Arabidopsis thaliana: one gene and its partner. The protein of the gene in region 2 interacts with the protein of the main gene of each other region in a pairwise test. Each region holds a gene or a part of one and is shown on either strand. Other genes may lie near its edges.

Region 1 (5,464 bases), on a different chromosome or scaffold from region 2:
TGACGATATCTCCAAATCGATGCAAAACGTAGAGGTTGCAGAGGTTGATCCTCCTCCGTTGATCCGCCAAAACTCCAACTTCATGTTCTTGTTGGAAAGGTCAGATTGAAGTAGTCAAAGTTCCCTATACCCGATCGATCGCTAGGACATTTTCAGATTAGGAGATCAGTATTGTGCTTTCAAAAACAAAGCCTGTACATTAGTACATATGCCTATCTTTGCCAGTGGCTTTCTGGTACTGTTCTACTATTAATAGGGGTATATTGGGTAGGAAAAAATATATATATGTGAACTAAATATTTGTTGTGTCCATGCGTTGATAGGCCATTTGCTTAATGAATTTTACTTTGTTTATCATTTTTCAAATTATTAGTTTTTTTTTTTGTCACTATTGTTCTTTATTGACTGATCCAAACAAGTTTACAAGGCCAAAGTTGAAGCCCAAAATTGAAGCCCAAAGTATTACATCAAGGAAAAGATCAAAAGAAGGATAACTCTTGCGTTAGTTAATGTGTCAACAACATCGACACGTGGTGAAAACGTGTTGCAAAAGAAACATTGCAATTTCCCGTCATCCTTTACAGTCTAGTCTTTAGTTATGTTTGTATGTTTTTGGAAACATATCTGTGTTAAGAGATATTCCCTTTGTGTATAAATACACTGCTAGTGATTGTAACTCGGGGGTACTCAGACAGAAAAGCGTTTAGGGAACATTTGTTCAAGGTGTTACTGCCGCCATTGCTGGTAGTGTCTCCGCTTTGATTACAGTGACATAATTAAAGACTAGACTGCAGGTTCTAAATGTGGAAGATAGTAATAGTAGTAGTAGTAACGATAGGAACTGCAGTCTGACTATCTACAGACGGTTAGAAACTTGGTCGGGGAAGGTGGTTGGACGGCTTGTTACAGAGGATTGGGACCAAGCTGCGCTTCTAGTCAATGTGTTCTATGACTATGATATATGATATAAACAACACCGGAATGGAGTGTATGAATCTGGTTTAGCTTTACTAACTATGAATAAGCAAAGAGCAGAGACTTATCGGTTATCAGATTTACATTTACATTCATCACTCCAATCCAATCACTGACTTAACACACGATGATCCATGGTACAAACGACAGACGAAAAGTAAAGAGTTGAAGCTTGAAGGTTTTTGGTCATTCAAATGATATCTGGACAAAGCGTGTGAAATAAGAACTAGCTAATAAGCGAAGTAGCAGCCAAGGATGACTTCCCTTTTTTTGTAGGAACGTACACATTACCAGATTCCACCGGCTCAGATATGGACAGAGAAATGGTGTGTGTTCCTACCTCCATGCATGTCATTTGATTGACCATGAACATACATTGTTGGGTTTGTCTGAGATGGGCAATCTGATATCAGAAATTCAGAGTGTCCAAAGAGATTAACGCTGTCAGAAGCAGATGTGATGTCAGAGCGAGAAGTGGTTGAACAATCACAGTCATTGCTGTTCTGCAACTGATAAAGCACAAATCTTGACATGTTTCCCGTTGCGTGTTGCTGTTGGATTGGCATGTCTTGTTTTGGATCTGTAGATTCTTGAAGCTTTTTGGTGTTTAGGAATCTTCCACCAGATCCTCTAGGTCGTTTAAGAGCGTGAACATGTCGAGATTCATGAAGATACGGCTGTATGATATTTGATAATGAGTTATGTTTAGTCATTAAACCAAAGTAAGATACCGAAACGCTGACCAAAATACTATACCTTACGGGCTTTGATTAGTTTGTTTTGCGCCTCTAGCTTAGCACGCTGTTGCCTCCTCCTCATAATTGCATGGAATTGCTTTGCATTGACAAAGACAGGCTCATTCTCTATGAGATCGAATGGTAGCGGAACTCGAGTCATTTGGGGATTCCATATCTGCAGAAAGTTTTTAAGCAAACTGAAATCTCAAATGGAGAAATAAATTGCAAGACTAATTCACCATTTAAGGATGGCATTTCTTTCTATAGCTGTATATGTAACTACTTCAGAGCATAATGTTACATAACAAGTCCACCTTAAGTAAAAATGAGGTTTAGCATAAATATTCTCCTCACCATATGTAATCAAGGAGGATATACTTACTGTTGCCTGTGGTAGGTAAGCCGCAGGCATTAAACCACCAAAATGTGGATCGGCATAGTGAAATGAGAAGTTAGCCTGAAACCAGAGTATAACACAAGATGTCAGTAAACAATCACAAGTACTGCTTATCGTCACTCGTAGTAGATATACGGGTACCTTGGAAGGAGAAGAGTGAATATCAGCGATTCCTGCCGTGGAGGAGCCTGATTTAATTGCAAATCGCTTCCTTTGAGTTTCTTCAAATCCTTTACAAACATCTGAAAGAAAGAGAGCGAAAGATAACATTTTCAGGACAAAGGGATGGATTCTTTCGTAAATGGGACCAAAGATCAAGCTAAAACACCATGCGTCTTCAACATAATAGATCATAGTGAGTTGTCTAGAACCCAAAGTTGTTTAAAACGGACCTGAATGTGCTAAAAATGAGATTTGTCTTGAGGGGTTATCATCTCCACTACTTGTAACATCGTTAGAAGATTGAGCAGAGGACAGAGTTGAAGATGAATCCTGGTCCTGGAAACTGATATTCTTTGTGTTTATAAGACGTTCTGGTCTTGCATCTACCACCTTCAAACTCAGTGATTCAGTCACACCATTGGATTTGGTTGGAAGTCCCCATGAGATGGAAGTACTAAGGTATGGTGGAGTTGAATGTGCCACAGAGCTAGTAAATGAAACTTTCTTATCCATGTGACTCAGAGGCAACAATTAGCTCTCTCTCTCTCTGCTTCAACAGAGAAGATTGATGATACATGTGTCTGTCAAAGAAGCTCCAAATTCAGAACATCTTTATAAATGATAAAACTTTCAAAAGATATTTATTCCTGGAAACAGCAAAACCTTTGACGATGTAGTAGACAAAGAAGGGGATAATCCAAAAAGGGAAAAAAACCCAGAAACAGAGCAACATTCAGAACTATTTCGGGCAAACTATTAGAAGAGCGCGGCAGAAAAAAAAGTAAAGTTCCGACCAACTAAAATCAGCACCATTACTTTCGTCCTAAAAGGCGTTGACTTGGGAAGAAATTTCCAGAAGATTTCCGAATCAGCACATCACTCTAAAAAAAAGCGAAGAAATGACGGATTCAAAGAGAAGGAGATAGAGAGACCTTACGGATTCAAGGAAGAGATGAAGAACAGGAACTCAAGGGATGCCTATCAAAACAAAGTAAATCTCTTTTCTCTTTTGCTTATTCTCTCAGATAGATACTCAACAGTGTGTATGTGTGTGTGTGTATTCTTTTGATGCTTCATTTCCGTCACTCACAATTTTCTCTCTTATAAAGTCATTACCTTTCCAACAAAATCACCAGCTCCATTATTAGCAGTACCGCCACCTTCATTAGTATTTTTAATGCTTAATTAATATATTAGTTTTCTAATCTTATTGACTTATTATTTTGTTCACTTAACAAAGTAAACACTTATCTAGTTATCTGCCTATCCACTTTACAAAGTAAAACTATCGTCAAAAGCCTAATCTAGTGAGCAACTATATGGCAGCTGAAGCATCTAAAGCAAAGCTAATCTGCCTACTCTTTGTGTTTATGGACAAAATCTTGAAGCGTTCTTTGGATATAGTGGAACTCAGTTCCAAAATGCGAGTGGAAAAGAGAGAGAGAAGCAGAAGCAAGGGAGACTTGAAATGTAGTAAGTTTGTTACTACCTGGTAAATTACAGAAGAAAGCACACAGTTTAAGTCTTGAGGAAGCTGTTGCTGAGTCTTGAGTTTCACTTGAAAACACGCAGGAGTAAAATCACAAGAGCAGCCACTAGCGTGATGCAGATAGGGATGCCTACATACATAACCGCATGTGTGATCTTGGGAAGGCGGATGGTTTGGCGATTTCTTGTGGCTTGAGTTTTCAGTACATAACTCGACATCTCAGTTTCTTGGAAGTAGTCATTTCGTGTATGTGCCTATAAAAGAAGGGAGATGATAAAGGGTAACTACATCAATCATAGTAGAGACGGATCAAGAGCCAAGTATTCACCTCCTTGTTTGGTATGTCCTCAAAATGTTCTGCAGAACCAGCTTCGAGAGAATCACAGCCGTGTGCATCGAGAAATTGGAGAGACAAGGGAAGTTTTTCCACCGATTTGAGTTTCTTGCAGTTATTGAGGCAAAGTGTTACCAATGAGGTAAGATCTCTGATGCTTGATGGCAATGTCTCAAAATCATGGTTGCTGAGATCTAAACATGTCAACTTGGTGAAATGACTAAGCTGATCTGACAATGATTCAACACTCTTGCAATTTTCAAGGCAAAGCTCAAGCAAACAGTATCTTCCCTCATCTTGACTTGTGTTAGATAGTTTCGCCAATGATCTAAGGTTCCTACAGTTGGTAAGTGTAAGTGTCTGCACCTGAGTTAGCTTTGGCAACTCCTGGAGCTTAAAGCAGTTTTGAAGCCAGAGAGTTTTTAACCGGGAAAGGCTACTCATAGCTTCTGGTAAGTTCTCAAAATCATTTCCGCTGAGGTCCAGCTTCTCTAGTAAATCCAGGTGACAAATCCCAGATGGGATTTTCCTGATGTTTAAGTTCACTAGTTTTAGCTCTTTCAGGTCGGGAAAATCTGGAAAGACGTCAAAGGAGAAAGATTCACCGTTTTCTTTGTGGCTGAACCTCATGATGCGGAGGGAATTGAATCTGTTGCACTCTGAGATGACCCAAGGTGCTTGTTGCAGACTCATCGCCGATATAATGGGTATCTGTTGCTCAGAATTAAAAGAGACGTATTCAGCATATCCTCTAAATTTTGAACGAAACTCAAAAGTAATGTCTCCCCCAATCGATATGTTTATAAGTGCATCCATTTTCACTTTTGCGTCTGGGAACTCCAATCCAATATGTTGCTGCCTTGTAGATTTTCGTAGAAAAAACCGCAGGGCACTTCTACGCCCTCCACGGTAGGATAGCTTAAGCTTCTTTAAGGTAGACCTTTTTCCAATACACTCTGGAATGCCCTCCAGTCTCGTGCATTGTTCCAGAAGCAATTCCTCAAGACTCGTGATACTTGAAAGATCTGGAAGTTGCTTGAGATGCTTAGATCCCGTCACATCTAGTCTCTTCAAACTCTTCAACATCTGAGCAAGATACAACAACACATGGAAATAGTTGGAATTATGTTTCTCGCAAGGATTCTCTGTTTTCACACCATTGCTCTATCAAAAACACAAACACAAGATGCAGAATCATAGAAAAGATTACCGGTGTTCCACTCCAGAGAGTTTCTAAATCACTGTGACGCAGATTGAGTTCAACAAGAAAACATGGATCAGAACCGGAAGGCAGGGCTCTCAATGGAAATGCATCCCAATGGAATAGCCGTAGGCTACGAGGCAGGAACGGTTGGTCTGGAATGAGTTGC
Region 2 (4,117 bases):
TTGAGGTTTATTATGTCGATTCGATTTTCAGATCTGTTGCATACGTTTTCGTATCTTCCTCGAGATCTCAATTTCATCGATCATACAAGCAACATTGGCTGGAAAGAGTGAGTTTAGCTAGCTACATTACAATCTACAACAGTTTGTTTTTGGCAACTTTCTCTGATAATTTTGGTAAAAACTTGTATAGGTCTCATAGAGCAAAGCCTATAATTATTGATCCTGGTTTGTATATGTCAAAGAAAGCTGATGTTTTCTGGGTTTCACAGAAGAGAAGTATGCCTACAGCTTTCAAACTCTTCACAGGTGCTTTCATTTTTCATAATCTTTCCTGTTTTGGGTAATCAACATAATGGGAATGTCTAAATGTAGAGTCTTCCTTAAATGTAGGATCCTTGTTACACTCATTGATGTGATATAACAATTCTTAGGCTCTAATGGTTTTTTGATGTTGTTGGTTAATAGGATCTGCGTGGATGATGTTATCTAGACCTTTTGTGGATTATTTCATATGGGGATGGGATAATCTTCCTCGAATTGTGTTAATGTATTACGCAAACTTCCTTTCATCGCCAGAAGGTTACTTCCACACTGTGATTTGCAATGCTCGAGAGTTTACCAACACAACGGTTAACAGTGACTTACATTTCATCTCATGGGACAATCCTCCAAAGCAACATCCTCACCATCTTACATTAGATGATTTCCAGAGAATGGTGGACAGTAACGCTCCTTTTGCTAGGAAATTCCGTAGAGATGAGCCTGTTCTCGATAAGATTGATTCGGAACTATTGTTTCGGAGTCACGGGATGGTCACTCCGGGTGGTTGGTGTATTGGTACGAGGGAAAACGGGAGCGATCCGTGTGCGGTGATTGGTGATACGTCGGTTATTAAACCTGGTCTTGGAGCTAAACGGATCGAGAAACTCATAACTTATTTGTTATCTACTGAGAATTTCAGACCACGGCAATGCCGGTAATGGCAAATTAGAGTTTTGTCATAGAGATGGTTACGTGGTTTTTCACACAAATGAACTGTATTGATTATCCGATACTTTGATATGGTTGTATAGAGATCTTTTTGGACTTTCTTCATTTGAGAAAGTGCAGAAATTTCGGGAAAGATCATTGATTATTGGAATTTGTCTTCTATTGCCGACCTAAAGTTTGGCCTTTTCCAACTTGATACCAATTTTATAGGTTTGTCACATATTAGTCATGTCCTTTTTATTGTTTGCATGATGAAGTTACCTGACTATTGTGACTAACATATAGGTGTTTCATTGATATTATTGCTTTTGAATTAATTTGATACATGATTCAATAACTCACATTGATATTGTTGTTTTAAATTTATAGATATACACCCATGTGACTAAGTGCAAATTACATGAGGGCCTATTGATGGTCACTACTCATTCCATGTGACTGACTGGTGGCAAAGATTTGGTTTGAATTTGATTTATCAAATGTTTTGGAAATATTATATTACTCAAGAAGTCAAGATTATATTACTTCTGCTCTGATTTTTTATTATCAAAGATTCTTAATGATAAACAAAAATCTCTAAAAGTCTGACATGTAAAATTTATTCAAAAAATCATCATAGCAGAAGCAAGAAGCTTATCAAATGAACATAGTAAAATGTCACAAAAATATATATAATGGCTCTCATTCAAAGCTGTCACATAACATTAAATATATATTTCATTAAAATGTCACAAAAATAGCAGAAGCAAAAATATATTTATATTTCTAACAAGAATCCATATCGAATACTGACAAATAAACAATTGAGAACAGAGTTTGGTCTAAAATTCTCAGTCACGGTTTCATATACGGACCAATTGTGGCAGTATTTGCTCATCAACTGAAACTGTAACAAAATATCCATATTAGTAAATATAAAACAAAGAAGAAATGCAGATGAATACTTACAATAAGGCCTAACCTCGACCTATAAAAGCCCATTATTAATTTAGGCCCAACGACGTTACGAAGAGAAACGTACGGCACCATTTGGCGCCTTTATTTATAATTTGTTTGTCATGCGTTGTGATTTGGGTCTCTTCTCATCACAAGTCGCAACGCTTAATCGTATCTGCCTAGAACATTTTCTGGTACATGTATGTATAATCGTCGGTGATGGAAGTGTTTCTTCTTCTAGATTCTGCTCTCGCTTCAAAGATCTGATTGATTTGTTTCATATCTTTCCAAGTAACCTCTCTAATTGTTTATCTTTTGTTTATCCCTGATGCAATAAACGTTCCAAGCGGACTCCTGATGCAATAAACGTTCCAAGGTCTCGAAGGTTAGTTTCCTAATCTTTAAGTGTGTTGGTGCTATCGTGGGTTGTTTTTGGGCTACTTGTTGCTTGTCTAAAGATAACTGTAAACTTTCAAAACTTGCGACTCTCTGAATTCCTCTTTTGGCTTGTGGGCGAATTGTTAGTTTTCTTTATTACGTGAATGTGTAGGAACATGTTATAATGTCTGTCTCTATTGTTCTTTGGGTTTTGGTGCAGGCATGGAAGAAGAAGAGACATTATGGCTGAATGTAGGGCATACTTTATGGAAGTGAAAGATACGTTTCATGATCAAATTGAAAAATATGATATGTTCAAGAATATTTTGTTAGATTTGAAGGCACGAAGGTAAGATGATTGCTTTTTTTTTTTTTTTGGTTTAGCCTTAAGGTTTTGATGAGTTTGCTCAAAGAATTTCTTGCATTCACAGGATTGGTCGTCATACTGCGTTTGCTCAATTGAAAGAGTTGTTCAAGGAGCACAACGAATTGATTATCGGATTTAACACCTTTTTGCCAACTGGATACAAGATAGCTCTTGATGATGACGTAGAAGACTCTTTTAGCTCGACTGCAAGAAACTATTGAAATTATCTTGTCATATTTTTTCTACTCAAATGATACGATCAAAATCTCTAAATTAGTCTCTCTATTCAGTTCTTGATGGTTTATCGAGTATCTTTGCTTTGCCATGCATGTAGGAATTTCACTATGATAAAGTTTGACCTTTTGCTATCTTCTTTACGTCCACTTAATTTCTTTATTTACTTAATTTGACCTTCGGCAAAAGCATTATTATCTACTTATTATTTTTTATTCTTAATGAAAAAAAAAACTGAAGTATATATGAAATTTGTAATATTCTAACGAGAAGTTAAAATCATAGATTGAAAAAAGAACTATATTGAGATCATAGTTTGATTGTTACAAATACTAAAAATCATTAAGAATTTCTTCATCATATCGTTGCAGTATTTTCTCATCAACTGATACAATAACAATTCAAAAAAAAAGTGAAAACGATTTTATTCCTTTTTATTAATGTTTATTTTTTAGCTGTCAAATAAAAGAGAGAGCATATTCTACAGAACTTCAGGGATGAAAAAAGGCCTCTTTATATATATAGCCTTACACTATGATCACATTGGTTCTACAGTATGATGTTACAAATACTAAAAATCACAAAGATTTCTCTCCATCATATTGTTGCTGTATTTGCTGATCAAATGTAACCAAAAATATCCAAAAAGTCAAATATTAAAACAAAGAAAATAAGAATAGCGAGATGAATACTTAAATAAGGCCTAACTACGGCCTATAAAAGCCCATTATTTATTATAGGCCCAAATAAGTTACGAAGAGATGGCACCATTTGGCGCCTTTATTTATATCTCGTTCGTCATTCCTGATTTTTGCACTATTCTCATCACAAGTCGCAACGCTTCATCGGAAATGCCTGGATATTTCATAACGTATGCATAATCTTCGGTGATTGAAGTGTTTCTTATTCTCGATTATGCTTTACTTCAAAGATCTGATTGATTCGTTTCATATTCTCGATTATGCTCTCACTTCAAAGATCTGATTGATTTGTTTCATATCTTTTTTTTTAATTATATAAAGCGTTAACTGTTTTTTACTTTTCCCTGTAGAATCTCTCTAATTGTTGATGTTTTGATTAGTCATGAAGAAACGGAGCGGACTCCTGATGAAATAGTCGTGCCAAGGTCTCCAAGGTTAGTTTCCTAATCGTGAAGTGTGTTGATAATCGTTGGTTGTTTAAACGCATATATAATGACGATGAAGAATTTGA

Evidence for each region. Proteins that work in one complex are often made in the same cells at the same time.
Region 1: the proteins of AT5G15040 (region 2) and NF-YA8 interact in a two-hybrid assay, tested with the Arabidopsis thaliana proteins (one large-scale study listed by BioGRID).

What each region holds. Positions count from the first base shown.
Region 1 is NC_003070.9:6,049,201-6,054,664, forward strand, and holds NF-YA8 (nuclear factor Y, subunit A8), read right to left. Parts: upstream 3,429-5,464; 5' UTR 3,204-3,428; exon of another isoform or gene 2,853-3,203; 5' UTR 2,785-2,852; coding exon 2,502-2,784; intron 2,352-2,501; coding exon 2,251-2,351; intron 2,170-2,250; coding exon 2,095-2,169; intron 1,888-2,094; coding exon 1,732-1,887; intron 1,653-1,731; coding exon 1,281-1,652; 3' UTR 964-1,280; downstream 1-963. Other genes in the region: MYA1 (myosin 1), read left to right, coding at 1-109; AT1G17600 (Disease resistance protein (TIR-NBS-LRR class) family), read right to left, coding at 3,826-4,014, 4,089-5,180, 5,305-5,464. UniProt on the Arabidopsis thaliana protein: Stimulates the transcription of various genes by recognizing and binding to a CCAAT motif in promoters.
Region 2 is NC_003076.8:4,868,683-4,872,799, reverse strand, and holds AT5G15040 (Paired amphipathic helix (PAH2) superfamily protein), read left to right. Parts: upstream 1-2,058; 5' UTR 2,059-2,311; intron 2,312-2,524; 5' UTR 2,525-2,546; coding exon 2,547-2,653; intron 2,654-2,735; coding exon 2,736-2,892; 3' UTR 2,893-3,046; downstream 3,047-4,117. Other genes in the region: AT5G15050 (Core-2/I-branching beta-1,6-N-acetylglucosaminyltransferase family protein), read left to right, coding at 32-107, 191-306, 466-980; AT5G15030 (paired amphipathic helix Sin3-like protein), read left to right, coding at 3,757-3,776, 3,957-4,040.